2 linked regions of the Caenorhabditis elegans genome follow. The protein of the gene in region 2 purifies or fractionates together with the protein of the main gene of each other region. This does not show direct contact. Each region holds a gene or a part of one and is shown on either strand. Other genes may lie near its edges.

Region 1 (16,177 bases), on a different chromosome or scaffold from region 2:
CTCATCAAGAAAATCGATAATAATATTGTTTGTTTATTTGGACAAAGAGTATACCCAATGACATAATAATTATTGTACATAAAAATCGGAATCCCATTGCGTTAATATTTAGAGGTGTTGGAAAGATCATCACAATATAAATGTTTTGTTATGTAAATTTTAAAGACCAGATACCCAAACTAAAATGCTAATAGTGCGAGAGCAAATATAATATCGAGTTAGCTCATTATCTCCAATTCAATTAACTGGAGCCAGATTTCGCAAGAGCTGTTGCGAAACTGACGCGAATGCAATTGAGAGAAGCTCTTTGGAGTCGTACGGAGCAAAGCTTCCCGGCTCCCACGTGGTAACAGATGTCTTGTAAACCTATAAAGTAACTGGTGTAAAGATTAATGTTTCCACTTCATGTCTCACATTTTTAATAGCTTGTGTCACCGATGTGGAAAATTCATCATCTGGAAGGCCTTCAGATTTGGCGGCTCGTTGAATCACTTCTACAAGAGTGGATGGAATTTCTAAAAGCTGTGAAATCGCATCAAAATATTTCGATTCATGATGTAGAACTATTTTGCATGTTGAGTAATATCTGCAAATGAGATTGACTGTAATTTTTTGTCTTGAACTTTTGATCTAGATTTACCTTCCAGAAATCTCCATTAAAAATGGTTGAATCACAACAACAGCAGCATCTTCTTTTGCTTTATTCGTTTTTCGTGCAGCTTCCACTTTTATCTCACACATCTTGCGAGCCTTCTCTTCACCAGCTACTAATGGCCTGAAGTTTGCGATAACGGACGTGAGTCCCCGACAGATTGCCATGGCTCCGGATTTCGTGAATGCATCAGAAGCGACGGTTAACAAATCAGCGTCACAGTTGAATAAGGCGAATTCAATCTGAAAATTCAAATATAATTTCAGCATTATTAACCAGCCGGGAAAATAGAAAAAAAAATACGGTATCCGGTCTCGACGCGACGATTTTTGTAAAATACAAACAAGTGTGCGTCTTTAAAGAGTACTTTAATTTCATATCGATTTTTCATACATAGTTTTCATAGTTTAAAATTTATTGCAATTTATGTGTTTCTAAATATGTCGCGTCGAGACCGGGTACAGTATTTTTGTCTTTTTGTGAAAAAAATCGCAAAAATTTATAAACGAAACGAACCACGCCATGTTCAGCAAGAAAAGGTTTCATTCCTGGATCGAGTGTTGTCATTACAGTCTCAACACCAGCTTTTGCTTTTCCAGCTACATCACTCAGAAGTTTACTTTCTGTTACTGTTTTTGTCAACCAACTCATGAGACCACCACTCATGTCTACTTTATCAGTGAATAAATTACTGGAATCTATTGAAGATTTCACGGATTCGGCATGACTGGAGACTTCTACAACGGCTGGCGAAGTAATCTAAAATATTCTGATTTAAAATTTCGAAATAAATCATAAATATTTACTGGTTTAGCTTCTTCCACCATTGGAGTAATTGGAATTTCTGTGGTTAGAGGATGAGTTCCCAAACTTGACGGCTTTTCAGGTTTTTTCACATTTTCCACATGAGCCTGTGCTGTTTCAGATGGCTTTTCAATTTTCTCTCCTTCCGTTTCACTTTTGTCAGCAGGAGCTGACAAAGCTCCTACAGTAACCGCTGGAACATCAGGATGAGGATTCGGAGACACTGATTTAGGTCTCGGTGCAAACGGATTCGGTACAGGATTGAAAGTAGGAGGTGGAACTGGAGTCACTGATGGTTGTGCATCTTTTGATTTGACGTCTTCGCCAGTAGTGTTAGTTTTCTGTAGAAGTGAGGCAATATTTGGCTGGAGAACTGGCGGTTTTGGCATTTCGAAAGAAAGTGGCTTCGGTGGAGGTGGCATATCAAATGGGGGCTCTAGAATATATATTTTTTTGTGAAATTAAAAACAAATTTGACTTACTTTTCTTTCCATCCTGATCACCCATTTCGCTCTCTTAAACAAATTTAATTACTGTTATTTTTCAATATTTGCTACTATTAACCAGATGCGAGATGTTGCTCCAAAAATACGGTACCCGGTCTCGAAGCGATAGTTTCCTCTTAATTCAAAGGATCGTTTGCCTTTGAGGAGTACTGTAGTTGCTAACTTTTCGTTTAAATTGACATTAAAAAACTCATAATTTTAATAAATCGTTGGAAAAACTATGAAAAATCGATGAAAGTTTGAAATTACAGTAGTCTTTAAAGGTGCGCACCCGTTTGTACTCAGAAAAAATTGTCGCCTCGAGACCGGATACTGTAATTTCTGGGCGAAAGCTGCAAAATTTCGTATCTGGGTAATAAGACTCAGATAGTTTCTCGAAACCAACGATTTTATGGATGCAGTTATAACGAAGAAAAATAAAAATAAATGTTTATTCTTGTATGATTAATTTGAAAAATCATTATTTATAGAGAAAATGAGCTAAATAAGAATTAAAAAATTTGGCATTGAGGAGTTCGGTTCGTCTTTTTTGGTATACAAGCAATATTATTCAGAGTAACTCTGAAATTTACTATAAAATTACTGGTTTGTTATCTCCACTGAATTAGTGACAATTGAACTATTAGGGGGTATTTCACAGGCAAATTGGCGGAGCAGGGGCTTTAGCTGCCATTAACAAAAAAGAAAACCGGCAGTTACACACAAAAAAATAGCTGAAAACTCTGAAAGAATCACATTGGCAAAGAGCAAAAAAAAACTGGCAGAAAATCTGATTAATTGATGATTAAAATTATGTGAATACAGCACTTGGAACAAGTCCCTCTTTTGATGTTATTCCTGGAGTCAGAACTGCTTTGCAAAGGAAGTTGAGTGGGAAATCGACGAGGACACCTGCAAAAAAATGGTTTTTTTCGGAAACGATTCGAGGAAATGACATCAGTGACATTTTCACATTTTCTCTCGTAAATTGAAAGGCCAAAAGTTGTAAATGTCTCAAGTGATAAGAGGAGTTATCATCAACGCTAAACTAGACACTCCAAAGTACAAACCTTTTAGATCTCGAACTCTTTCCTCAGCTTGTTGTGGAGAATATTCGGACATTGGAATCTGTGATGTCCATTTTTGGAACTCTTCAAAAGTTTCCACGAAATCGGTGGGGTAGGAGCGGAAAACCTGAAAATTAAATATTGACTATTCGAACTTGAATTCTCTTTTAATACAGAGAAGCGAAATTTTGCAAAAGGATGCGCGTCTTTAAAAGATACTGTAGTTACAGACTTCTGTTGTTACGAAAATTACCTTGATTATTTATAGTTTTTCTCATAATTTGTAAAAATATATATGCTTTTAATTGTTTTAGTTCAATTTTTCAATAAACTAATTTTTAATGAAAAACTATGAAAAGTCGATAAAAATTCCACAGTAACGATTGTTTGAAGTTACAGTACTCCTTAAAGGCGCATACCCGTTTGCATTGAACAATTGCCGTGCCGAGACCTGGTACCGTAATTCTGGCGCAAAATTTGCAATGTACTTATATAACCAACCTCTTCATAAATCTGACCATTACTCTTGGCAGTTGATTGCCATACATCAACAAAGAAACTATCGGCGACAGGATCATCGCATGACACTGCATACGGGAATTTCGCTTTCCGGCGGGAGTCGGGAAGTAGGCCAAGATGTTCCTGAAAAAAAAGCAAATTGAGTGGAACTGCTGATTTCTACCGTAGCAGGTATGTACGGTGATAATGTTAAAAATTGTTGATTTCGGTATGCTAATTCTAATTTTTACATATATTAGGAAATATTAAAGAAATGTAGAAAAATGATGGTTTGATCACAATATTCGCTATTGTTGGTAAAGGCACTATTCAAGAAAACATATTATTAGATCAAAAAACACTTTTGTGCATTTTTATATCAATTTCAAATCCAAAAAGTTGGAATATCACACTAAAATTGACACTTTTGTGCATTTGTCGAAAATATTTGCCGCACAGCTACTACCGTACCCTCATGCATTGCATCCGTAGGCTCTTTGCAAATCGTCCAGCCTCGAATGGTTTTCCATCCATAACCGAACGTTCTTTGACGACGTCAGTGTACACACAGCATACTTCAGAGTCACGATTTCCACACTGAAAAATCAATTTATTGTTTCATTGATTTCACTCTCTTCCTTTTTTTTTGCTCATTCTTTTCGAGTTAAGCACACATTTAGTGCAAAAATGTCACATGAATCACTTCACTATTCCTTAGTTATGATGATAAGCGGATGGGCGGGCGTGAAGAATTTTTAGTTTTCGGCAAGGAGGCTCGTATATAAACACATGAGAGGAAGTGAGTTTTGATACTTTTTCATATTTGCTTGAACTTTTGAACGATGGCTACAGATGCTGATGTTATTATTGAGGTCATTCTTTGCATTTTCCTCCCGGTAAGTTTTGATTTGAGCCTCTCTTTCAAAATGGGATCTTAAAATATTTTCATTTCCAGCCATTAGCAATCTGGTGGCACACAAAAGAATGCGATATCAATGTGCTCATTGATATTATATTTTGCCTGCTCTTCTGGCTTCCAGGAATACTTTACGCAGTCTACATTTGCTTCTTCAGAAAGTAATTTATCCAAATTTCTTGTTTTTCTTTTTCGGTTTAAAATTTAAAATAAATTATAAATTACCTGTGATCTATCATTAATATTTGCTGATCCAATGATAACATGCTCATCATCGACGATGAGCAATTTACAATGAATGTAGACGAGCTCAGATACCTGAAAAATAGTATAAATGAGGAATAAAGTGAAGAGAGAGTGGGAGAAATAGAGAAAAAGCTTATTTTATGACATGAAAGACGTGTGTTTGTTTGTGAATGGGCATGCAATGCAAATAAAATTTCCAAATATTTAGAATGGCCAGTGATAAGGGAAAAGTAAAAATGTCTATGATACAACGAAACTCACCAATTTCTGTCCAAGTTGATCATAGGTTCTGAGTGATCCTACATGAATATATTTAAATGGATCAGGCATCACAGCTTTCAATCTTTGAATCAAAGAATTCGGTCCCTGACTCAATGATTGATATGTCCAATGAAGAACTGCTTGAAGAGAAGATCCACCAGGAGCACCGACGTCTCCTTCGAATCCAGGTAGAAGTGGAATCATGATGTAGACACGATAATTGTCTTTTTCTCTGAAAATCAATTTAATTGATTTATAATTTAAAAAATAAATAAAACTCACTTGTAAGCTCTGACGATACGATTATAAATAACTTTGCAAACTTCATTCGTGACATCATTTGATTCAATCATAGAAACGAAAAATTGATTTTCAATGTAGATGTAGTGCTGAATAAATTTTAATTTTTTCTAAAAATGTCTGAAAAAATGAAACCTTCGAGTTGGCGATGAGTGAAAGATATGCCATTTGAATCGAATCTTCAGTTTGATTTATCAATCCTGACCAGTTAGACAAGGAACGGAGAACTTGTACATTGACCATTTCAGATGCATTCGCTGTTTTGAAGACACGTGGAACACGAACATTCTCGTAGCTTTTTGGTAAGAGATACGGATAATTCTTGTCATCCTGGAAAAAAAATAATTAATTGGGAGAACTGGATCCATTATATATTTTTTAAAATTTGAATAAAATACACACTTTTCATGATAAAATTTGAAATATTCACACCAGAGAAAAGGTTAAAAAATTGAGAAAATGATAAATTTTGCGAATGTTTAAAAATAAATTTTGAAACGTTTCCACTAAAATTGGAATTTGTTGTATTATATATTGAATATTACAGAAAGATTAAAAAACAAAGATAAAAAATGCCTGAAACTGATCTGTTTCGAAAACTACCGTACTCCGAATTTTTTTTTTGAGAACGAAAAGTTTTTTTTTGCAAATAATACACGACAAAAACGAGAAAAAAAAGAAAACGAACATTTTGTAATATTGGAAAGCTATTTTGAGAAACAAAAAAAAAATATATATATAAGTATTTTAAAATGCATTTTTTAAAAAATTTTTCGGGAAAAATGTAAAATTTAAATATTCATGAATTTTCAGTACTACAGAATTTTCGGTGTGTTTTGCTCACATGTTTGAAAAATACATTTTTGCCAGAAAAACTTAATTAAAAATATTTTGAAAACTTAAAAAACTTTTTTCTCGATTTTTTTTTGTTGAAAATTTAACTGCTGATGATAATTACCTTCAGCTTCTCCGTCTTTGTAGCATTCCATCGTTGAATAAAATGACGAGCAAGATCACGAGCTGGAGCACCAAAAGTTACAGAATGGATGTCATGCCATGGCATTCTTGGAGTAGATCCACGATCAATAAAATCTGAAATTTTATATTATTAATCATCGAAATTTAATTGAGAGAAAGTGACCTACCATGGAATGGCATATCAACTTCGACGAAATCTTTCGCGATATAATTGACATAATCCTTTCCATACCATAACTTTGCACCTCCATCAATTTCATCATCTCCATCACCTTTTTCGTCCATTTCACGAAGTCGCAACCAATCCAACTCATATCCCATTGTGGCTTCATCACTTTCAAGCATTTGCTTCCACTTTCTCTTGGCTCTGTTGCTCTTCCAATTGCCCACAGCACCCACAGCACGAGTTATTCTCGAATCTTTCTTGGCTTTTCGACGATTCGGAGGGGTCTGGGCTCGATGTTTCTCCTTCTGAACAGCTCCACTTGCCACGTATTCCTTATATTTCTCGGCTGCCGATGCAAAATCCATTCCACTCTTTGCAGCCTTCTCAATCATTGACGGAGCAGGGCCAGCTTTGTCCAGAATCTCACGTGGGACATGCTTCCGCTGACGTTCCAATGAAGTGACAGCTCGACGAAGTTCTTTCTTATTCTTCTCCTTTTCGAGAGTATTATCCTTTACTACTCTAGTTGTAGTAGTCGTCGTTGTAGTTTTAGAAGTTACTCCACCAGAAGTTGATGTTGATTCTACAACAGTTGTTTTAGTTTCTTTCCAGTTCTTTTGTGGATCAGCAGGACTAGAATGACGTATAGCTTCATCCACAGGGAATCGGTTAAGTGTTCGGACAACGACTCCACCAGTTTCTTTATCAGTGAATATTGTCTCTTCCATAATCTTTTTAACATCAGAATCTTCAGAGATATCTTCATTATCGGTCAATTCGGTTTCTTGTGTTCTTCCAGTAACTTCTTTTGGCTCGTCAACTTCATTTATTTCCTCAACAGCGACACGCTTTACTGATCCATTTTTACCTCCATTCTCGTTTCTCGGCGTCACTTTCTCATGTTCCTCAAGACCCAAAGGAGAAAGCGTTAACGGAGCTGTCATCAAGCTTCTCAATCCACTGGCCATATTTGTAGCAACTTGATGTGCACCAGAATATTGTACGGATCCAAGATCAGTCAGCAAATGTCGATGATCATCCCATCGTCCAAAGCAAAGATCAACTCCTCCAACAAAAGAGATCAATTGATCAATTATCAGAAGTTTTTCGTGGTGAGCCCAGAAGAATGTTCCAGTTGATGGATAATGATCAGGATGCCTCATTACTTTAATATTTTCATGAAGTCCTTGAAGTGTCCGTTTTGAGTAAATACTATTGAGACCAAGTGCCATTTCCATTTCTTTATACAACAATATGAAAATCTTCACACCTTGCTCAGCTTTTCTCTTCAAAATTTCATCCAAACGCCAATAGTTTCCTTCGAGAGCTGGCCGTTTCATGTAAATCTCTGGACTGAGCCACCAATCGGTAATGTAAATTTCTTCCCGAGCCAGTTCCATCATATCAGCCGCATATTCCATGTATGTTTTCGCATCAACAAACCATTTCGCGTGGCAGTTCTCACGTACTGGAAATGAGGAACTGAATCTGTGTGGTTGAAGCCAAGTATTTCCGATTCCACCCATAGCCTGCTCAATAATGTATTTCCACGTGGCAGTGTCCTGAAGACGGCGGCATTTTAGATGAAGCTCACTGAAAAATTATATTTTGATTTTATTGATTTTTCCTGAATTATAATCTCACTGTTGACTATTTGTAATAATGAGTCCTGTCGGAATTCCTTCTGTTTCTTTTCCTCCAGCTGCAACTTTGAAATCACGATCCATTAGCAATACCATCCGAATCTGCTCAGTTCGATGATCCATATATGCAACAAATGAATCACGAACCATAAGCCATCTGAAATTGTTTTTATTAATTTTATTTCGATAAAAACGATAAAAGGTGTCGATTTTCAGATTTTTCGAATTTTTGGATTATTACTGAAAAAATCGAAAAATTTTGACCAAAACTTTTAATAACCTTTTACTCCACGGTAGAAGATATCGTACACAACATTGCTTCCATCCAAGGAACACTCTCGAACCTCCAGGACGTTTCTTGACAAATCCTTCCGTATGTTTTCCACCAAGCTCATTGACAAATGAATATCTCGAAACCTCCAAAAATTCAGCAGTTTCGTGATGATTTCTGTTGATCGGAATGTGAAGAACCATTTGGAGCCAGTTCTCGAGAAGCTCTTTACGATGCTCCAAATTTGTTACCATCGAATCAGGCATCATTGGGAAACGTGGAAGAGTGTGCCGATCCTTCTTTCTCTGTTGACGTCGCTGCCGTTTAGGTGTTCCTTCGGATGTATTAGCCTCATTGACAGTTTCATCGAGAATTCCAGATTGTACAGCTTGCTGCATGTGAACTTCCTTTTTGAATGCATCTTCTACTTCTCCAGGTGATTCAACTGATGCTAGTGGAGCAGATGTATTCTTTGATTCTTCAATTCCATCCGAATCACGCTTCAGAACTTGCAGCTGTAAATATTTAAACTTCTTTATAAGATAAAAAACTCTTAAAGATACCTTCGGATGTCTCTTCCGTTTAGAGCTTTGATTTGAGTATGGACACTCTGGCTTGTGATCAGAAATAATATCAATACCCATATGCTCCAAATAATTATCGAATCGCTCTTGTGTTCTGAAAATAAATAAAAATAGCAAAATACATTAATTTGCAGTTATAATTTCATACAAAACAGTCCAAAAACAAGCCATTCAAGTCTAAAAATAAACAAAACAAGCACAACAGCGTGTAGAAACTTACTCATCCTGAACTTTACCACGAAATCTGAATGGGGGTTAGTCTTAGGTTAGCGATGGGGTGAATTGCAAGAAAAAAAGCTTCAAACTTATTATAAAAGGTGTAAAATGAGAAAATTAAAATAAAAAGTGGCAATTAATACCTTTTAATTGGTGCCATAAATTGTTCACGAGCACGATGTGCCATGAGACGATTGTTGAGAAGTGTGAAATCTTTGTAGTTTCTGATGACGCTCCAACGAAATTGTCCATGTTCCAGCTCGATTGTGTAGCTGAAAAATGTTGATTTTTCAATTTTACTTCAAAATTCTCTAACTCACAGAAGTGTATTAATAAAGTGAATTCCCCGATCCGTATTTCTCTCGACTTTTACAATTTTCGCGTTAACCGGAACTCCTGGTATCCAATATCCTCGACGACGAGCTTGCTGTTGAGTATCATAAATTGACATGTAGGGAATGATTCCTTAACCAAACACGTTTAATATGAGTAATTTTTAAAGTAATAATACCTTTTCTTCCAGGTGTTCCGGGAAGAGATTGCTGTAAAGCAGCAGCAACACAGTCACAATATTGGATCTCATCGTCATCAGAACTATCATCACTATCACCATAATCCAAGGACTGTGGAGAGGATACCTGAAAGATAAATATCTAGAGTTAAAAAAGAAAAGTTGCACTTACCTCATCAATGTGAACTGTTTTGCTGTCTCGTCGGACATTAAGGTTGCTTGGCGGACTGTCTGCTCTTCCCTCGTGTTCTCGGAACCGAATTACAGCTTTCTTTTGTTTATCTGAAGCTTTTGTTGCTGGCAGGAGTCCTGGTATACCACGGTCATGCATTACAGATGAGTCGACTGAAAATGAAAAAGAAATTGGAAAATGTTGTTGACTTTGGTGTGTTCAAGAAGAAACTTTTTGAAAAGAGAAGGAAAAGTGCAAAATGTATTTATGAATTCCTTGTGATTTCTGATTTTCACGGAAAAACTAACCTGAATTATTTTCAGTTGTATCTTTCGGTTCCAGATGACCACTTGATGTTGTCTGAGGCCTCCGCGACTCTTCATCTTCGCTCTCCATATTTCTGTCTTGACTTTGAATGGTCAAAATCAGACCGGAGTGCGGGTTTTCTCCCTGAAAGAATAAAAAGCAAGTTTCTCAGAGTTAATATTTCTTGGTTTCGTAATCTTTACAAGTGCGAAACATGAAAAATGTGATGAATCACTGAACAAACTGTAGAAGTGTGGAAAAAAAGAGAAAGTTGGCTGTGAAATGGCAAATTGGTAATAGGAAATGAAGAAAATACTGTGATTCATCTTGAAAAAGGTTCAATTTTTGTAGTTTTATATTTTTATCAGTAATATGTTTGAAAATGTGAAAGAAAAACACTCCTTGAAACAAAATAAAATAAACAATTAAATTTTTTCGAAAGATTCCAAAAAGTAGTCTACCGTACTATTTTAAAGGCGCATGCACATTGCCAAAAAATTTTTCTGGTTCGTTGCGAGACCATCGGCGCCTTTTGTAGAGAAACAAAAATGTGTTTTCGATGGAATTTATTCGTTGTTGTTTCAATTTTGAAAAAAAGCAAAAAATGCAATAAAAAAGACATCAAAATTGCAATAAATCATATTTAAGAATAAAGTCGATTTTTTTTCGAGAAAAATACCACGAAATTTCCTCGAAATTGATTTTTAAAATTGTTCTTTGCAGTTTTCTCCCATTTCGGGGACTTCAGAAAATTTAAATCGAAATTCACAATTTTTCAAAAAACCTGATACAAGAGGTTTTTTGTGTGGTTTTTATTCTTGACGATTCAAATGATAAAAAAAGATAAACGGCAAAAATCTTTCATATAATGTGAGAAAATCCCACGCGGAAGCAACTAATAGCGGAGACGGGGTCATTCGCGCACTCTATCTTTGTCTTGTGCCTCTCCTACACCAGTTATGTCTCTCCACATGCATTTTTACTTTACTTCTCTGCGCCATCTCTCCGGCGCCCGTTCTTTTAATCTCTGAGGCGCTTGTTTACATGAGCCAGAACCATTGTAAAACCACATTATATTGATTGTTCTTCGTGTGAATGTGGTGATATTTGATGCAGAGAAATAAATGATTTTAAACGAAAATTACTGGCTACAACTAAATAAGTGGCAGGCCTTAATTCGTGCGGGAAAAACAATGCCATGTTGATTTTTTTAGAATTTTGAAGAGGAAAACGGAAAAATGCCTTGCATTGAGTATGATATGAAACGCGAAGATGATAAGAAGAAGATGAAAAGTTGGTTGGTGGAAACAAAAAACGTGGGCAAAGAAACATGTAAACAGCTGTTCGTTTATCAGTTCAGAATTTATATTGAACACATACACCTAGGTAAGACCTTAACATGTTGGTTGTGGCCATACTACAGATCCTAATAAAGTGATAGTCATTGTTAGATATTTTGTTTTCCAGAGGCAACCCATGGAGTACCTAGTGGCGTAATTCGATTTAAAAAAGTCTGATTTGATCTTTGGGTATGTAGGAAACCCGTAATAAACCCAAATCCATACCTTCTACGATTTGAGATCATCCACGAATACAGAAATCGGTATCATTCGCACATTGAAACAGGATATTGAAGCGATGTTGCATAACACTAGACCGATATAAAATGAATTGTAGTCTGAGGACATTACAGGGACAACATGATCGCCTTCCTTTTATTCTCTATTGTTAAAGTCGCTATTACATGTATCCCAACTCAAGAAGTTGAACGTAAGTTCTTCGCAGTATTTTTTAATTGATGGAAAATAAATGTATTAGCTAAATATTTTTTTGAATCTTGTATCGTAAAGTTATTGAGAAAATTATTTAGAAACCTTTTATATAAGAACACTGGAATGCCTAGAAAGAATGTTGCATAGTAAAAAATTTGTGGCACAACTTGCTTTAATTTCAGCTATTGACCCAGTCAGCACTACTACAACGACATCTTCTACAACCACCACAACTACTACAACTACAACGACGGAAGCAACTACAACAACTCTAACATTAGCTCCGAACCGTAAGCGTTTCATGAAAAGCTTCTAAATTTTAAAAATTCGAAATTTGTTGGAGTGTATGATAATTGATGATGTGAGATCACTGTGAGTATAATTAAACTACCCTAAATCACTTTCTAGCCTGCACAATGTGTGCTCCAATTTACAATACTGGATGCATGGGAGTTGGAATGCCAAGTCCCACAGATTGGTGTGTTATTGGAGATGATATTCCCGTTACTTATTCACTTGTAGATGATGGTGCAGGACTTATTAGTTGCGAGTGAGTTATCATAAATGTTTCACAATGCCCTAGTGAACACTGCTTTATATTTTAGAACGACATTACAATGCCCAACTGGAACATTTGCTTATTTTGTAGCAGGAACCGAAATGCAAGGAAGCAACGGAGGCACTGATTCATACACAGTCAGCTGCGAAGAATCGGGTGGTTTTTATATTGGAATATGGCGGTTAGTAATTGGTGGGATACCTACTCCAATTACTCAAGCAACATGCAGAAACATGTAGAAGTGCACAAATATTGATGGTACTTTATGAAAGTTTCAAGATGTTATGGTTCAATATTTCTAAAATTATACAAGATATAATAAATATTGATATTGATGTCTATTATGTTCACTTGGAACTAGACCGCACTTTTTTGAACTGCAAAAATTCAAAGACACTAAACATCATTGCTTGTTATGAATCGAAAGAACAGGATATCATTTGGTGCGCAAAAAGCTTGTTGCTGCTTCACCTGTCCGACGCTTGATCAAAATTTGTTTCCTTAATTTCATCGGCGCTTTATGCAGGTGTAAGTTAATTAAACTCTATCCATATTTTGAATCGACTAACATTTTCAAAAAGTAAGGTTGCTGGCAATATGCCAGTGCAAAAAGGATGCAAAACTAATTTTTGGTTGGATCGTAAGGACGCAAGACTTATAGTGAAAATACTATATTTCTGCTCAAACAAAAAGTCGAATTTTGAGCTTCAAGCATGTTACACGTGACTAATATAAAAATTTGATACTTATTGCAATGTCTCCTCCAACAAAGGATGAAGAACGTTTTTTCGAATCGGAACAAGAAATATTGCGTTGCGAACAGATATGCAAGGAAGATATAAAAGTGATCTGAAGCATGTCACAGTTTGATCAGACAATATTATGTTTCTACTCTTATTCTCATTGATGCCTATAATGAACGGATGTATTCCCACTCAGGAAGTTGAACGTGAGTTGTTGTACAAGCATACTGACTATGAAAGAGTATAGATAATTTTCCAAAATAGCAATTACCACTACAACTACAACGACTACCGAAGATCCAACCACAACAACAGTCCCTTATCGTGAGTTCAAGGTTTTCAATTTTCTAAATAAATCAAACTTTAAGCGTGCTCTGCTTGCACACCAATCTACAATACTGGTTGCATGGGATATGGTGTCCCCAGTCCGACAAATTGGTGTGCTATTGGAGAAGATATTCCAGTGACTTATACAATTGGAATAAATGATTACGGGTCTACTGCTTGCCAGTTAGTTAGATGTTTCAAATCAAAATTTCAATTTAGAAAATTTTCAGAACAACGCTCCAATGTCCTTCCGGAACTATTGCATATTTCGATCAATCAGGTACTGAAGTTGAAGGGAATGATGGAGGAACTGATTCTTACTCAATATCGTGCGAAGAAGAGGGCAATTATGTTGGAATGTGGATGACTCAAATTGAAGCATTTCCTCAGCCGATAAATCTAGTTACTTGTAGGAATGCTTGATTATTAACGTATTTAAATAATAAAAATATTTTTTGAAACTGAAGTACATATATCAAGTATGTAATCAGGAATAAACGAGCAGTTTGTTTTATTTACTCAAAACTAAGACCATACGTTTTCCAATAAAATCAATATATTTCAAAGCTTTTTCTCAATCTAGTCTGTTTGAAAGGATCAATAAATACAGTTTTGATGCTGATCTTTTATACAGATAAAAACTGATCAGACTAATTGTGTCTGGATGTTTTATGAAAAAAAAAATTTCTCGCCAATTCAAGTAGGAACAGGAATTTATGTGAAATGGACACCCTCCATTTTTTAGACCTTATTAATTAGTGTGCCAAAGATTGGAGCAATTTCAAATTTGCGTGTAACCAAAATGAAAAATAAGAATTAAAGAAGAGTTATGGGAACCCAATCTAGAAATAGCGAGAAATTTGAACCCGCTAAAATTCATTTTTCATAGAAAACCATTATATTTATTTTTAATATTTTAATTTAAAAAATTGTTTTTGGTCACTTTGAGTAATCAGAAAATGGCACATAACTCACTGGAAAAATTATTTCAGTTTATTCCTTGGCATGACCAAAATTTTCAACCATTTTTCATCGCTACATTAAAAGCCAGCTTTCGGGAGATAACAAAGAAACAAAACACCACATCTTATCAGAGAACAGGATATAACTGCACGATTAATTAAAGTATCGATATAGAAGATTACGTTCTTGATCAAAATGTTCCATATATATTAATAATACTTAGAAGTAGAGCAATTGTGAAAATGGAAACATGGTGAATATTTTGTGCTTGGTCACAATGTTTCTATTTACTAAATCATACAAAACTACAAATATCAGGTAGTTTCTAATAAAATGTGAACAAGCACATGAAGAAAATAAATAGTGTGAATAGAACTTGTTCACACTTTTGAGAGCACAAAAGAGCTGGAGAGAAATATGAAAGGTAGAGAAAACGAGAAGGAAAAATAGTTGATTTTTCAATTGCAACAAACAACTGAAGATATTCTTCTGTTTTTTTTTTATTTGTGAGTGTGGTTGAGAAAAAGAAAATAAAAATGTTGGAAAGAGAAGTGCCGGAGCCACCGGGTGCCAGAGCACAATTTCCATCTTTTTTAATTGTTTAGAACGAAACATGTGAAGCGGAACATACTCAATTTGAGGCAAAAGTTAGTTTTTTTTGTCTATTTCGTGCTAAAGTATTTTTGGAAATTTTTGAAAAACGAGAAAATTCTAGTATAAAAAATTAAGCGAAGATAAAGTATTAGAAATTGAAAAAAAAAGAATTTAAAAACCACATCTATTTTTTGACAATTGCAACCACTATTTTTGTCATCTGCTTCTAACAAAGCGTGTGTAAAACGTAATGTTTGCTCACAAAATGAGTCACTGGTTTTCTATTTCTTCATAGAATCTACGAGTTAGAATCGGTTCAAAATCCAAAAATTGACGTGCAAAAATGAACCAAAATTTCGAAACAAGATGAATAAAAATATATAATTTCTCAAAATGAAAACTTGAAAAAGAAAGGTTACTAAATTCATACCTGGGCATACTAAAGTTGTTATTTTTCGTATTTTCGTAGTCTGTGGAAAAGGAAGTAATTTTAAATTTGATTACCTCGAATATTGAGTAAACAATGCAAAGGTTTTGGGTAGATATGATATATGTATGAATAAATTAATATGACGTTTTTTAACCTGGTGGAACCAAGTAGCGAATTAGCCTTCACATGCTTCAGGTAAGTTTTCAAAAAATTTTTCCACGAATTTTTCTCATCTGCAAGTTTCATTCACTCTGCTCTGATCAGTTAGACCATTAGATGAATTCCCAAAGTTAGACCATTAGATGAATTCCCAAAGTTAGACCATTAGATGAATTTCCAAAGTTAGACCATTAGATGAATTTCCAAAGTTAGACCATTAGATGAATTTCCAAAGTTAGACCATTAGATAAATTTCCAAAGTTAGACCATTAGATAAATTCCCAAAGTTAGACCATTAGATGAATTTCCAAAGTTAGACCATTAGATGAATTCTCAAAGTTAGACCATTAGATAAATTTTCAAAGTTAGACCATTAGATGAATTTCCAAAGTTAGACCATTAGATGAATTCTCAAAGTTAGACCATTAGATGAATTTCCAAAATTAGACCATTAGATGAATTTCCAAAGTTAGACCATTAGATGAATTCTCAAAGTTAGACCATTAGATGAATTCTCAAAGTTAGACCATTAGATGAATTTCCAAAGTTAGACC
Region 2 (15,795 bases):
TTTTTTCAAAAATCAATAATTCGTGTAGTGGAAGCCAAATAAATACCTCAAAAGTTGCTCGAGGAGCATCGGCTTCGCTGAATCTTTTGCATCTTTCCCCAAACCGAGGTTCTTTGCAGTACCAAATGTCAATAAGGTCCCCCGATCACAGCAGATTACACTGAAAAATCAATAAAGTCCTAGAAAAATCAATAATGTTCTAGAAAAATCAATATTGTTCTAGAAAAATCAATAATGTCGTAGAAAAATCAATAATGACCTAGACAAATCAATAATGACCTAGAAAAATCAATATTGTTCTAGAAAAATCAATAATGGCCAAAAAAAATTAATAATGTCGTAGAAAAATCAATAATGACCTAGACAAATCAATAATGTCCTAGAAAAATTAATAATTTTTTAGAAAAATCAATAGTGTTATAGGAAAATCAATAATGTCCTAAAAATCAATAATGTCCTAGAAAAATCAATAATGTTCTAGAAAAATCAATAATGACCTAGACAAATCAATAATGTCCTAGAAAAATTAATAATTTTTTAGAAAAATCAATAATTTAAAAAACAAAAATTTTACCTAAAATAATTCCCAACCCCAACTGATTGTATATCTCTGCCCTTCAAACTCTCCACCAACCGCCCGTTTTCCCTGAAAATATGTCGATTGTCAATAGAGCGCACTTGCAGTATCGCCCGGGCTTACATTTTCGAAAACTTCCCGAATCCCAGTTGTCCACAAGAGTTATCACCAAATCCGAAAAGTTCATTATCATTTGTGAGCACCATTGTATGAGTTTTGCTCAGAGCGACCTGAAGAACATTTTGAAAATTTTGTCAAATGTGATGTACACGGAAAGGTACCTGCTTAATCGATATCCGGCTGGGAAGGTCTGGAATTGAGGACAGGGTGATTGTCGGGACATGCAAATCGTAGAGAGTTGTGAACGAAACCGAAGATCTCATTGATCCGGAGGTGTGTCGGTGACGGTTTTCCGAAGGTCGCAGCATCTGAAAAATATTGATTTTTTGAAAATTATCGATTTTTTAAGAACGTTATTGATTTTTGGAAAATGTATCGATTTTTCAGAAATGTCTTCAATTTTTTACTGAAAATTATCGATTTTTCAGAAGGGTTATTGATTTTTCGGAAAAATATTGACTTTTAAGGAATGTTATTCATTTTTCTGAAAATTACCTATTTTTTTGAAATTTTATTGATTTTCGTAATATTATCGATTTTTTCGAGAACGATATTGATTTTTCGAGATTTTATCGTTTTTCCGGAACGTTATTGATTTTTCGGAAAAATATAAATTTATCAGGAACGTTATTGATTTTTCAGATTCGATTTTTTCTTTAAAAAATTATCGATTTTTCGGAAACGTATTAATTTTTAGGAGCGTTAAAGATTTTTCGAAATTTTATCAATTTCAGAAATGTTACCGATTTTCGGAAAATTTTCGATTTTTTTGAAATGTTATTGATTTTTCCGAAAATTATCGATTTTTCAGAAATGTTATTGATTTTTCGGAAAAGAATCAATTTTTCGAGATTTTTTTCCAACATTTTTAATTTTTCACAAGGAAACTATCGATTTTTGGAAATTTTTTTCGCTATTATTGTATTGATTTTCTCTACATTTACCTTTAGCGCCTGCGGAGCGGAGGGCCTCTTTTGCGGATCCAACTGTAGCAATTCCCGTATCACCATTTTCATTTCAGCCGAGTAAGGTCCTTTTACTGGTGTGTAGGCACACTGAAACCAGTTTTTTTAGGTTGATGCTCACTTTTCTAGAATCATCGATTTTCGGGGAAATTATCGATTTTTAGGCCTGTCATCGACGTTTCAGAAAATATTATTGCTTTTTAAAACGACCAACTATTTTTGAGTTGCGCTACCGCCGACGGCGACGCAGAATGGGTTGCGGAGCGCCGCCGGCGGAGCATGTTGCTTTTGCAGTCTGATTAAATGTGGTAATATTTTAGTTACATCTATGACCAGGTGGCCGTCAATGAATTGCGCCGTCGCTGGCGGCGGCGCATGGCGGCTCGCACTGCCGCCATCGCAGGCATGTGAACATTGTGCCGGCGGATTTAAAATCCTATGATTATCGATTAAAAAGTATCAATTTTCTGAAACTAATAATTATTGATTTTTCAAGAAGTTATTGGTTTACAGTTCCATTATCGATTTTTAGAAATATTATCGATTTTAAATCTTTCAAACGATGAAAGTTTTCGATAACGAAAATCGGTCATTTTTAGAGACACTTACCGTCATAATACTATTGACCAACGCGGGAAGATTGTCACCTTCAAACGCTTTCTTCAAACAACACATTTCATAAAGAATACATCCAAGAGCCCACATATCACTTTTCTCATTATAAGAGACACCTGAACACATCTCTGGACTTATGTAATACGGTGTTCCGACAACTGTTTTTGCTCCTTGAGCCAATGTTTCAGTGCCCATTATTTTGGAGATTCCAAAGTCGCCGATTTTTACAAATGAGTCTCGAGTTAGGAAGACGTTGGCAGTTTTTAGGTCTCTGTAAATTATTTCTTGTTTAATATTTTTTAAAAAAATTTATCGATGCACCATGTTACTTGAAATTGGTAAAAAAAATTGCGCGTAAAATATGGCACGCTTGCGTCGGTGAACCTCACAAACCTAATGCACCATAGCTTACGCGCAAAAATCGGAATTTTCAGGTTCCAGTTTTTATGAAATTTTTTTATTTAATAACGATGAAATTTGGTGTTTCAGCTATTATACATTTTGTAAAACAAAATGTACGATATCGATTTTTGCGCGTAAAATATGATGCATTGATGTCTCGGTGAACCTCACTAGTCATATTTCACGAGCAAGTTTTGAATTTTAAATGTTACCCAGGAAGTTTAAAATTTAAATATTTTCTAAAAAAAAATTTCCAAAAAAAAATTTTTACTCTTGAAACTTCAAACTTTTTTTGTCAAAAACTTGTTTTTTGCCCGAACTGATAGAATACAGTCCCAAAATACCAAAAATAACCGTTAAAAAATTTCAAAAAATGTTCTAAATTTCTAATGATTTTTTTAATTCTGAAAAAAAAGAGCTGAATTATTTTTGAATTCCCGCGAAAATGGGTGACGTAATTTTCAACATTTTTGTGTTTTCCTGTTGAAATTAGCATTGAATTATCGATTTAAGGCCAATTTGAACGTTTTATTTTTTGAAAAATGCCTGAAAAATGGACAACTTATGTTTCAAATTAAAAATTAAAAAAAAACCCAATTATAAACAGCCGGAAAACGCAAAAATGTCAAAAATTTTCGAAATAATTCGGCCCTGTTTACTTTTTTTCGCATAGTTTAAAAAAATCATAAAATATTTAGAAAAATTTTATAAATTTTTTTACAGTTATATTTAATATACAGGGACTGTATTCTATCATTTACAATTAGGGCAAAAAACCAAATGCACACTTACCTGTGCAAAACACTATTCTCATGCAAGTAGGCCACCGCCGAGCACATTTGAATCATCATATCGCCAATTTGCTCTTCATCCAACAAATTCTGTGTTCTTGATAACATTTGAGCAAGTGTTCCACCATCAGCATATTCCATTTCAATCATTAAAACACCTTCTTCTTCAAATGAATCATAGTATGCAATTATATTGGGGTGCTCGATACGTGATAACAGTGAAACCTTCAAATTTTTTTATAATTAAAAAGCCAAAAAATTATTTTTGTATTGAGATGTTCCTTCAATAAGTTATTGATTTTTGAGGTCTATTATCGATTTTCTGGTTCATTTTTGACTTCACGAAAATATTGATTTTGTAAAAATTTTATCGAGTTTTGTAATATTTACTTTTTGAAGAATTATTGATTTTACAAAAATTACATTATTACGGGAACACAAAATTCTGAGAATGCGTCTTGCACAACATATTTGACGCGCAAAATATCTCGTAGCGAAAATTACAATAATTCTTTGAATGACTACTGTAGCGCTTGTGTCGATTTACGGGATTTCGATTTCGGAAATGAAAAAAAAATCGTTTCTTCGTATTATTTTCTTATGTTTTGCCTAATTTTATTCGATCGATATTTCGAAAATCAATTTCGAAAATCGAGCCCGTAAATCGACACAAGCGTTACACGTGGTGTCAGGCTGTCTCATTACAATTTGATCTACAAAAAATGCGGGAATATTTTTCCAGAAAAGTTGTGACTTCAGCACGCTCTTAACCATGCGAAATCAGATGAGATGTCTGCGTCTCAACTCCCGCATTTTTCGAAGATCAAAACGAAATGGGACTTTTTGACTACTTACTGTAGTCATTTAAAGAATTACTGTAGTTTTCGGTACGAGATATTTTGCTCGTCAAATATGTTGTGTAATACGCATTCTCAGATTTTTGTGTTATCTTAATAACTTTTGTCTAAAATATTCAGTTTCGTCAAAGATAAAAAATTATCGATTTTTGTAAAATTACAAAATTTGCGGTAGACAATCGTTTTTTATTAAACTTTTTTGATTTTCTTGAATTTTTTTTCTCGACCAGTCGTTTAAAAGTAATTCATTGCGAAATGTTAATTAAAATTCTGTGGCCAAAATACGAAAAAAAAACAAAAAAAAACAGGTGAAAAATTGATTTAGTAGTTTGGTCACCTCAAAATATTCCAGGTGGACGCAAAAAACTGGTGACCGAGTTTTCTCAATTCCTCGGCCACATAGTAACCACGGGGAGTCAGAATGTCTTATTAAGATTTGATCTTCAAAAAATCGCGAGAGAAGAGACGCAGACTTCTCATCTTATTTCGCCTGGTTAAGAGCGTGCTGACGTCACAATTTTTATGGAAAAATATTCCCGCATTTTTTGTAGATCAAAATGAAATGAGACAGCCTGACACCACGTGAGTAACCTACCTCATTCAGCGCTAATCTCCTCTGTGAACTATCCAAATCGTACATATTGATTTCTTTTATAATCACCAACGAACTGTCTTCTCTTCGGCGGTAGAGCACGGCGGACCCGAAGGCACCTGGAAATCTTGGATGGCCTAGAAAAATCCTAGGCCACTGCGCTCACCTTTTCCAACAGTCCGAATACGTTCATATCGATTTTGTGCCGATGTGGCTCTCGGATTCGGGTTTGTTATCATTATCTCATTATTGATATAAATCTCGACGATTCTTCTGAAAAAAAAATCGATGATTTTTGGAATGTGTGACGTCATTTATTTGCCACCGAAAAGAGCCCGTGTTGAAAAATGAAGAAAAAAAATAGAATGTGATTTTTGTTGTCACCCACTACTGAAAACCAAAAGATAATCACTGGTTACGATTTTGTCAGGTGAAGGCATTCATTTGGAAAATGTGCTCATTAGAGAGAAAAAGCTCAGAGAGAAAAAGAGCAAGAAGAAATGAAAATGAAGATGAAGAAGAAGCTGTATATTTTTGGTTGCTAAGAAGCAAATGGGAACTCGCCACGGGGGATTTATTGCTAAATTTATAAGGGGGCATAAATCACAATTTCAACGTGGCCTAGGAGTTTATTTTCTAGGCCACAGAGTGAAAAAAAACTCTTCCACGTTGACAACAGCTACCGTATTTTCCAAGTGGCCGAGGTTTTAATTTTTTAGGCCACATCCATAAAAAACTCTTCCACTCTTTGAGAATCACATTTGGTGGCCGAGAAAAACAATTGATGGCCTAGTTTTCCACAAACTTTCAGAAAATACCTTGGCCCATTTTTTTTGTCACTAATTGAAAGTGGACCTGTGCTCGATCCCCCTAATTTTTACGTGGCCTAGGAGTTAATTTTCTAGGCCACAGGAAAAACGTTTTGCTTTTCTTAGACCCTGCTGTTTGTGATGAACATGATCCCTTAGGATTTTCTAGGCCACAGAATGAAAAAAACTCTTCCACGAGCTCACAGCTTTGTTGCTGGGCTGCTCGTGGCCGAGGTTTTGATTTTTTTTTAGGCTATAGATATAAAAAACTCTTCCACTCTTTGAAAATCGCAATTTGTGGCCGAGAAAAGCATTGGTGGCCTAGTTTTCTTTTTTTTAATCACTTATTAAAAATGGGCCTGTGCTCGATCCCCCTAATTTCCAAGTGGTCTAGAAGTTGATTTTCTAGGCCATGCTTCCAAATTCTAGACCGTTTTTTTGTTGCATATTTTATGTTAAAAAACCGAGAAAAATAATTGGTGGCTTAGTTTCTTTTCAGGAAAAAAGCCCGCGGCCATGAGAAATCTCAACTTTCGACATGGCCTAGGATTTGGTTTTTTAGGCCACGAAAGCTCCTTACTAACCTGTTATGGGGAGCCAGCTCGGACGACAAAAATCTGCTTACCAAACGCACGGAAATCTGAAACAAAATCAATTTTTCTCACTTTTTCCAAAAACTCTTCGATGCACCATGTCTTCGAACCAAAATTTTAAGAGATTGCGCTCAGTTTTAGGCTTAGACTTAGGCTTAGGTTCAGGCTTAAGCTAGGCTTAAGCGAAAAAAAAATTGACAAATTTGTCGTTCAAGGCGCCATATTTTACGCGCAAAAATCCCCGTGTACCGTAACCAACCTTTTTCTTGCTAACACTCTGCACTGCCAAACAAATTTGCGACGCGTTTTCGATGGGCGTGGTCAGCAAAAAATCGATAAACGCCCCCTCGATCAATACTTCTGAAATGAGCCATCGAAAAAATTGGGAGACGAATGAGCCGGCGTTTTCAAGGGATTCTTTCGTTACTTCCATATCCTCTAATATTCGAAGTTTCGTGTCGCGGGTTTGGATATGGAGGCCGAGGTTCCGAATTCGGCCAGCAGTGTATTGTTTTAGCATGTCTGGAAATTGGAATATTCATGGAAAATGTTGTGGATTTTTCGAAAAAAATTATTTTCAATTTAAAAAAAATTGAAGTGAAAAATAATAACTATAGGAATTACTATAGGAAAAAAAAATCAAAGATAAATGGAAAAAATGTTTAAAAAATTCGAAAAGTTTTTTACGAAAAATTATTTCCTACAAATAATTTCAAATAATATTTTAATGAAAGAACCATTAGAGAAAACCCTATTAAAATTTAAAAAAAAAATGAAAAATTGTCCGAGAGAAGTACGTCATTCTCGAAAATTTGATAAATTTTAATTTACTCTTGAAATAATAATATTATTAAAAAATACAGGAAAAATTTCTCAATATTTTTGTGAATTGGAAAAAATTCGAAAAAAAAAAATTTTAAGAAAAAAAAAAAAAATTGAGCAAACCTTTCAACTCGGTCATTTTCACACCAACACTGTATCTAATAATATTTGCATCGGAAGCTCGAATCGTATCCAAATTTACAGATTCTGCATGGCAAAGAATCACCGTGCTCATCATCATAATCACACACGCGCTGGGCTCGCCGAGCCAAGTTACCCTGCCACGAGACGTTGCCCTGGGCAACCAACTTGATTTGATTTGGTTGCGGTGAGTGAGTTGGTGTGCTGAATTTTCTTCTCGCCTTTGTGGATTTCGCAATCATTTGATTTTCAAACGAAATTCCAGCTTTACATGGCAGTAGAAAAAAATCCGAAAAAATTTCAGCCGAGGTTTCTCTGCTTTTGAAAATTGCCCCCTAAGCATCTGGAAAAAAGGATCTCAGAGATCGGCTCGACTTAAGATGACCCTATACCACACTAAATCCCAAACAATAAATAATAATTCGAATTAACATTTTAGAGCGGAGCTAGATCAGGGAAATCTAATTCTCGGAGAGCGAAGCGAAACTAGAATTCATTTTCACACGCGAATGTTTATTTCAATACTATTTTTTAGGCTAAGAAAACCACAACAGGAAAGTTGGTCAACCTGGTCCCGGACTTTAAATCGAAGCGTATGCCATTTGAAATCTTTAGACTAGATCACCACAAAAATTGGCGGAACTCAACTCTGAACCCCTGAAATTGGCAGCTGAAAGTGTTCCAGTGCATTTTTCGCTGAATTCCAGGTCAAGGAACTGGTTCTGAGCGATTAGAAATTGTTTTGGGGGTTTTAGAATCTAACGAACAATGTGGAAGCTTGTTAGATATTTTTATTTTGTTGAAAAAATCTGAAATTTTGTCAATCCAGTGGGAGCCAATTTTTCGGTCAAAAAAGTTTTTTTTTTCGACAAAAAAAAGCCTATTTTTTTCGAAGTCTACAACTTTGCAGTTAAATAATACTTGTTTATGAAATAATTTGTTCGGTGAGATATGAATACTTGAAGTGAAGCTTCAAAAATCCCAAGTTTTCCTTCATTTTTAATTTGTACAGGACTTTAAAGAAAGGAGCGGCTTCCAGTTTCAGTCAATTTGTGGCAGTGACTCTTTTAACTACTACCGCCAGTTGCCGGCAAATTCAGGTTAATTGCCGACAAATATGTGGTCCATTGCTGTTTTTTTAGAGTGAAAAATCTTGGGCAATATGGCGTAAATTTACTGCTAATTAAAGTTTCGCAGTTTTGCGTATTATTTAGAATGCTGTGTACCGTATTTCTTCTATTAGTATGGCCTCCCTATTAGTATTGCACCTTGAATACCCTCCGAAAATTAGTATTGCACTCCCTATTAGTGTTGCACTCCCTAATAGTCTTGCATCTACATTTTTTTTTTTTTGGTACAAACCCACCTCACTAATTTTGAGATTTTAACAACATTTTTTGCCTACTTTGCAACAATTTTGGTAAAATTTCTATGAAATTGAAGTTATTGTACCTTTTTGTTGCAATTACAATCAAATTTTCTGAATTTTCACATAAGATTCGAGTTTTTTTCAGGAAAAAAACTTGTAAGCTCAAAGTCAGAAAATGTTCTGAAAATTAGTATTGCACTCCCTAATAGTCTTGCACTCCCTATTAGTATTGCAAGCGGGAAGACCATCGAAAAATAGTATTGCAGCCATATTAATAGAAGAAATACGGTAAATTTCACATCCAATCAAATTGTAACCAAAACGAAAATCTTACAAAACGCACCTCAAAACGAATGCTTTCGAGATAATACTAATCAAATAAACTTTATTCATAATACCAAATCAAAAATTTTCTATATCTTATTTGGCAGCCTTCTACACATCGATCAATTTCATGGATTTTCAACACTTGGATCAATATGAGCAGTTGAGTTGAGACAATTAAATCGTACAGCAGCGCACAAAGTTGGTCTCAGGCCAGCTGTTTGAACTAATTCCATCAACGGATGGATCGCACCACGAGACTCATAATAATTCAGCAGCAAGGAGAACAGTGCAGAGTTCAATGATAAGAGCACTGTAAATAAAAGTAGTTTAGCTATTATCGGAAAAATACGATCGCAAAGCTTTCGAAAAATTTATTTTTGATCTACCCGGTGCACTGGACTCCTCCTTTCTCTTTATCGAACAAAACAGTATCTTAGAGAAAAACATTTTTAGAAAGTTTGGGAAGCGGAGTCTTTTTTGACCAGGTAGATCAAAATAAAGCATTGCAAAAATATTGCGATCATTTTTTCTCGACAATATGAGATACACATTCTTGTTGTGCGGTTTTGTTTACTTACTATTCTGGCATGGGTCAATGTAAAGGACATGGGCGAAAATCTGTGCAAGAAATATCAAGCCAATCAAACCCTTGCAAACAAGAAGCAGGATAGTTTTTGACGAGACAGAAAATCTTCCTTGCTTAATTTCTAAAAAAACATTGAGTGTTTTGAGGTTTTCCTTTTTTTAATTAGCAAATGCAGATCTACGAACTATTGGACTCTTACTTTCAAAAATAACTGAGTGGTTGTGAGAGAGCCGCGAACCTCGTCGGAGGTCGTTGCCGGTCATATAGCATAACTCACAGATGTTTTGCGGTTTTTAAAATACTTATAAAATGTAGTTCGCGCACTTCTACAAAAGGCACCAGCGATATAGTAAAATAATTTCAAAATCGCAAATATTCAGCAAAGTGCGACCAACGAGAGTAAACAAAATACTCCTAAAATGTTAGTGATCCCGCAGCGAAATGCGCGATTTTCAAAATACATCTGAAATATTGGTGACCATAAGTATTTTACAAACGGCAAATCAGCTGTGGCTACCCGCAAAAGACGGAAAAACACGGGACACGGGCCCGCTGGCTGTCTCAAAATTGCTGTTTTCTCGCGGACGAGAAAACGTTAGAAAAGTGAGCAAAACGGCCTTGAAAGCGGTGGAAGAGGAGGATTCTTCGTCCACGGTTCGCGTAGTTCTCTCGAAGAAAATAGCGTGTGAACGAAGAGACGCAGACGACAAACAGTTATCCTTCGCGTTTTTCACGCCCAGTGAAAAATTAGTATCAGAGTCTCTCTTATCTAATGCATAGCAAGAGTTGGCGCCCATTTGTATGTTGGAGCTCTTTTCATCTACGTTTCAAACTGATTTTTTGTTGAATTTTGTTGTTTAATGCAGCATGATTAAGCCATTTCCACCCATTTTTGTAACATTTATGAAACTCACCAAATGGGCTAAAAAAAATTAACCACAATGAAGCAATTGATCCAATAAGAGCAATAACATGCGCAAACCGATTTACCCATACATTTTCAGGCAGATCAAGATACATGTAGATTTCTGAAAGTGAATAATATTGCAATTGGTGTATATTAAAAAATCAACTCAACTGAAAATCTTTACAAGAGCAAGTAAAAATCCGACTATGATGTTCCACAAAAATATGAAAATCATCGAAAATTTTAAGTTTTGGAAATCTGTAACATAAAAACCAATACAATTAAAAAAACGAAAACTGATTTCATTTCATTTCAAAACAAAAATAGGAAGATAAACAGTTTACTTGTTTCAAAGCTTAATTAGCGCGTTTTCTGTACAGGGTGGTCCATAATTATGGCGACCACTTTAGGGCACAGTATCTTTTTTTTGGACAGCGAGCAAGACTAGTGAATATACACATTTTATTGGTCAGAAAAAATCAAACACAACGACATATAAAACTTGACACTTATCACCACCTACGGCAGCACAGAACTCAAGACACTCAAAAATCCACACGGCCGTGGCGCGCAAGTGGGCTCAATTTAGCTTATTGGTAATTTTTAAATGAGATACATTGAGTGATTTATTATTTTGATTATATATTAAGAATACCGTTAATACAACAAAGTTTTTCACAAATAATTTTTGAGATTGGTGTCCGGTGCCGGAAATGGCATCTTGTGAAAGTTGATGAAGTCAAAAAAAGTAAGCTCCCCCAAGTTTTGTAAATTTTCTTCCTTACCAGCCAACCATCCTTCATGTTGAAAATGCTAATGTGTTCAGTTTAAATGTGTCTTAACTTAAAATGACAATTTGGTTTTCAATATTTCGAAATATTCCACAGAATACAGAATTTTTGGGCAAATTTTTCGCAACGGACTGTTTGCACTGTTTTTAACGGGCAAAAAGCTACATAAATCCAAGCATAAATTGGCTCAAAATATGTCTATTGACTTTGATTTTGCTATTTCGAGTGTCCAAAGTCTGGATAATTATTTAAAACATAGAAACTAGTTACTTGATCCCGTGAGCGCAGCAAGAAACGTCGGGCGCTAGAAATCCTCTAAAATGGAGAAAAATTATAGACTACCGATGTTGTGAGGTCCTCATTACCTTCAAAGTTGAAGGATGTTGTATGGAAATTGACGAAAACGACAGAAAATACTGTGATCTTCTAGAATTGATCAAATTTTAAATTTTTCGTAACAGGGTAAACCCATAAATCAAGTTCTTGCGCGCATGTAGCAGGTCGCCATAATTATGGACCACCCTGTAGAGCCCATCGCGGTATTTACTAATGGTAAGTGGCTGCAAAGATAGAAAACCAGGCCATTCTTTCAAAAAAAGATTAAATAACATTTTTCGAATACAACCTTTTGAGAACGATAGAAATCTTTCATAATATCATTTCCGACAAAAAAAGTTTCAGAAAGAATAGGGTAAAAATTAAAGATTGGCCGAGCTCTAGTTGGCCGAGTTCTGGCTTTTTCTAGGCCACGCAGGAAAAGCACTCTGTGATAGTTTTGACGAATTGAATTGTACGCCAGACGTGCTGTTTATCAAATTATTCAGAAGAGTTGAAACTTTTAATTGGCACGAAATTGTAAAAAAAGTGAAGAGCACGTGTAGGCAGAAGTCATGATACGAGAATGTAGATTGGCAGAGAGGCTTGTGCGCACAAGCCTAAAATATTCTCATTACGTATACACACATAATTAGATGCCTGCTGGCCTATCTACACTTCTATGTGGTTACCTGCTTGCCTTTCGCATGCCTACATGTATTTTCTTTCATATGTATGGACTGAACCGGATGACCACTTTAGTCACCTTTGCCTCCTCTGCTATTACAACAATCTTACCAAAGCGCATCCTTGTAAAACCACAGTTGGTGTGACGGGTGTAGGGAATAAAATTTTAATTTTTAATTCCTCCCCTCCCCCCTTTTACAAATACTCAGGCCACGTTATTATTTTTAATTTTTGAAAAGAAGTGATTGATATTTATGAATGCAACCGGTTAAAAGCATTGAAAAAGTTCGAAAAATTGTCTATTTTGAAATCATGTTTTGATTGGGAAGGTAAAAACTGACTGAAAACTTCTGAAAATTTCTAGCATTATGAGAAGAGTTTACACGATCGAGCAGTCTCAAATCCCGGAGGCGTTTTCCGTGCATGATGATATAAAACGTAGGAGTCTCGAGTTCGAAATTCTGTAGAACTCTTCTGTTTAGTCCCTGAATCCTGAGGACCTGAGGCCCTGAGGCCTCTCACTAGGGAAGGGTCTGAAGGTGCCAGCGGCTTTTTGGACGAAACATGTTTCATTTGAAAGCCCATTTTTAGAAACGGTGAAATGTGAATTTTTAGCTGCGAAATTTCAGATCTGAAAGATGCTCACAGCAGTACTCTCGGCGCACTCTCGGCGCAATTTTGGGGTGTCGGTGAGGGCTGTGGTGATGGTTTTAAGGAAAATATGTTATTTCTAGTCTATTTTACTCTTGCTGTAAGTCTAAACAAGGACTTTCGAATGAAACAGGTTTCGTTCAAAAAGCCGCTGGCACCTTCAGACCTTTCCCTAGTCAGTCCACAATTCCGTTAAGTGTTATTTTGAAAAGCATGACCTCACACACATTTTAATGTTAATGTAAATCCTGAGACTTAGGGAAGATCTAAAAGGGCGGATGCACTGTTTTTTGGGCTTCCTACCTTCCATCCACCTTTTTGTCACTTTACTCCCATCTTTTTGCCACCTTTCTATCACCTTTTTGCAGCCTAGTTATCGCCATTTGTCTCCTTCCGGCAAAAAGTGGGAGGAAGGAGGCACTAAATGACGAGACTTTTAGGGAGATATTTGAGTACGAATTTCGCGCACGAATTTCGTGCTACAATGCCCACAGTAACAATTTCTATAGTTATTTCTACATTTTAAATTTTAATTTGAAAGTTGGAAAAATATCATTTTTGCCCATTTCAATTTGAACCCTCTTGCTTTTACGACCAGTGCTTTCAAATTTTATTTTTTTAAATTACTAACTTAAGAAAGCTACCTGTTTTTATTTTGTCATTTAGTCATTGATTGTGGCTCCAAATGCGTGTTTTAAAGCAATTTCCCTACTGTCGCTACTCCACCTTCGTAATAGTAGAATAGAACTGTAAAAAATTTATGGAACACATTTTTCTTTTGATGTTATGCAATTCTGCAAAACATTGAAAAGGGATAAATAATTTATCAATTTCCGCTCAACTTAATGACCTAGTTTTGATAATATCGCGTAATGCGGCTAATTTTTTTGAGACAGGTCCAAGAAAGAAGATATCCTAGGGGGAATATGCCACAAGGGAAGACGCAAAGATGTGCTTCCTCGGGAAACTCCGCCCACCAACCGCAACTTTTTCGGAACCAAGGCGCGGTTGATGGGAGGAGTTTTTACGGGGAAGATTTCTACGTCATTCCATATGGGTATCTTCTCTTTTAGTGCAGTCTCTGTCTTTGGAGTTAAACCAAACCACCCGTTTTGAGACACAAGCGTCAAAATGCCCGGGTCCATTTTCTGATTTTTTGAGTTTTTTTTTCGAGAATTCCCAGGTTGAAAAAATTTGCAAGAAATTTGAATTGCAATTTTAAGGAACGTTTTGGCAGTTCTCCAGAACTCAGGTTTTTTTTTCCAAAAATTGAAACAATTTTTCAGAAAATCATTCAAAAATCTGTAGCAAATCCACGAAATCGAATTTGTTTTTTTCACATACAAAACTTTTATTCTTTACGATGATTATGTTCTATATGCTATGGTGGGTGCCACTTCAGATGAGATCCTTGTTGGCGGTTTCAATGCTGAGTCCAATCCAAGCCATTGCAGTGTAGGCGAGAGTTGAAGCAACAAGGACGGCAGTGTAGATGGCAGTTATTTTGAGGTGTTGTTGAGAGAGTTTTTGGGATCGGATTAATTGTGTTCAAGAAATTCTGAGACATGAAGTTTTTCAAGAAATTCTACAAAGCTTCTGGCTGAAAACCTCAGCCCGAAACGATTACAGTAGCAAAACTTTCAGAGAATAGAATTTGAGTATTGAAATCAGTTATGTTTTTACCCGTGACCCGTTTATTTGGATCGAAAATAAAATTGTTCAGAAATTAACAATCAAATTCAATTTTTTGTTTAAAAAAATCAAAAAATTAACACTCTTAGTGGGAGACCCGTTCACCCATTTTCTTGGATTATAAAAAAATCAAAGTGTTTATTGGCATCGTGAGCATTAATAAAAAAAATAGATAAAAAAGATTTAAAGTTTATACATTATGTGCAACAATGATTCCGTCGCGTTTCTCACTGCTTCCGACACAACTTTCAGATTTTCGATGTGCTTTAGAATATACGAATATTCCTCAATAGTCTCCACAAACTCCTTTTTCTGTTCTGTCAAAATTTGAAGCGTCAGCAGCGCCCAGAGGACAGGTCCCTCAAGCCTTGAGGTTTTGAGCACATCTTCAAGGATTCCCAGGTAGATTTCAACTTTTTCGGTTATCTCGGATGGTTGGAAATATCGGAATCGGTCGATTAGAAGATCATTGGCATCAGAGGAAAACTCACAGGTTGTCCAGTCTCTTTCGGAGGAGAAGATGCGGAGTGAAATTATTGTGAACACGTTATAAGCTTTGTTAGACGTCCAGTCATTTAGGAGTTGGCTGAAATATGATTACATTGGAAAAAACTGCTCAGAAAGCTTCAACTCGGTGTTTTTAGTACTGATAAAATGCACTAAATTATTTAACATTAAAGGTGGAGTAGCGAAATTTGAGGCGTTGCCTTTTTAGACCCAAAATGGCTAAAACCAAATTTTGTAATGTGACGTTCTGAAAATTTCTCACAAAAGTTAAGTTTTGGAAAAAATGGTATATTTTCAGCTAAAGCGACACTAAAGTTGCCAAAAGTTTAGATTTTAGCCAAAAATAATATTTCATTTTTTCCAAAACATTGAGCGGTCATAACTTTCATGTGAGAAATTTTTAGATCGTCTCATTACGAAATTCGGTAGTTTTTGGCCATTTTGGGTCTAAAAAAGCAAAACCTCAAATTTCGCTACTCTAGATTTAACTCACTGAAAAACTTTAAATTCTGTCGCAGTAAAATGTTTCTTGAAAATCGATGACTTGTGAACAATGCTCAAGTTTCTGATAACATGTAGTACTTCAAGATGTAGCTCATCGGAATTACAGTTTTGCAGGCACCACACCAGCGAAGCAAATTTCCCGTTTTTAAGTATATCCTCACATGCGCTCTTACTG

The links.
Region 1: the proteins of nekl-1 (region 2) and pld-1 fractionate together in Caenorhabditis elegans (co-fractionation; one large-scale study listed by BioGRID). This does not show direct contact.

Annotation. Positions count from the first base shown.
Region 1 is NC_003280.10:5,081,471-5,097,647, forward strand, and holds pld-1 (Phospholipase), read right to left. Parts: upstream 10,221-16,177; 5' UTR 10,167-10,220; coding exon 10,079-10,166; intron 9,944-10,078; coding exon 9,771-9,943; exon of another isoform or gene 9,726-9,770; coding exon 9,599-9,725; intron 9,553-9,598; coding exon 9,408-9,552; intron 9,360-9,407; coding exon 9,231-9,359; intron 8,966-9,230; coding exon 8,851-8,965; intron 8,803-8,850; coding exon 8,297-8,802; intron 8,174-8,296; coding exon 8,018-8,173; intron 7,967-8,017; coding exon 6,375-7,966; intron 6,322-6,374; coding exon 6,188-6,321; intron 5,560-6,187; coding exon 5,365-5,559; intron 5,319-5,364; coding exon 5,212-5,318; intron 5,162-5,211; coding exon 4,930-5,161; intron 4,741-4,929; coding exon 4,648-4,740; exon of another isoform or gene 4,588-4,647; coding exon of another isoform or gene 4,462-4,587; intron 4,403-4,461; coding exon of another isoform or gene 4,349-4,402; exon of another isoform or gene 4,315-4,348; intron 4,104-4,314; coding exon 3,978-4,103; intron 3,651-3,977; coding exon 3,510-3,650; intron 3,136-3,509; coding exon 3,012-3,135; and 4 more. Other genes in the region: C04G6.4 (Protein TIC), read right to left, coding at 238-366, 415-586, 641-894, 1,169-1,411, 1,459-1,892, 1,939-1,963; UPF0057 membrane protein txt-9, read left to right, coding at 4,349-4,402, 4,462-4,587; C04G6.2 (DUF281 domain-containing protein), read left to right, coding at 11,777-11,846, 12,031-12,138, 12,257-12,398, 12,454-12,646; C04G6.13 (C6 domain-containing protein), read left to right, coding at 13,290-13,356, 13,415-13,474, 13,519-13,660, 13,708-13,900.
Region 2 is NC_003279.8:2,349,466-2,365,260, reverse strand, and holds the start of nekl-1 (non-specific serine/threonine protein kinase), read right to left. Parts: upstream 7,379-15,795; coding exon 7,267-7,378; intron 6,845-7,266; exon of another isoform or gene 6,844-6,844; coding exon 6,581-6,843; intron 6,369-6,580; coding exon 6,313-6,368; intron 5,193-6,312; coding exon 5,086-5,192; intron 5,039-5,085; coding exon 4,923-5,038; intron 3,696-4,922; coding exon 3,472-3,695; intron 2,549-3,471; coding exon 2,272-2,548; intron 1,753-2,271; coding exon 1,642-1,752; intron 1,006-1,641; coding exon 859-1,005; intron 808-858; coding exon 701-807; intron 647-700; coding exon 575-646; intron 161-574; coding exon 47-160; intron 1-46. Other genes in the region: peel-1 (uncharacterized protein), read right to left, coding at 9,106-9,290, 9,559-9,687, 10,481-10,594, 10,645-10,731, 12,378-12,387; zeel-1 (TIR domain-containing protein), read right to left, coding at 14,793-15,195, 15,610-15,795.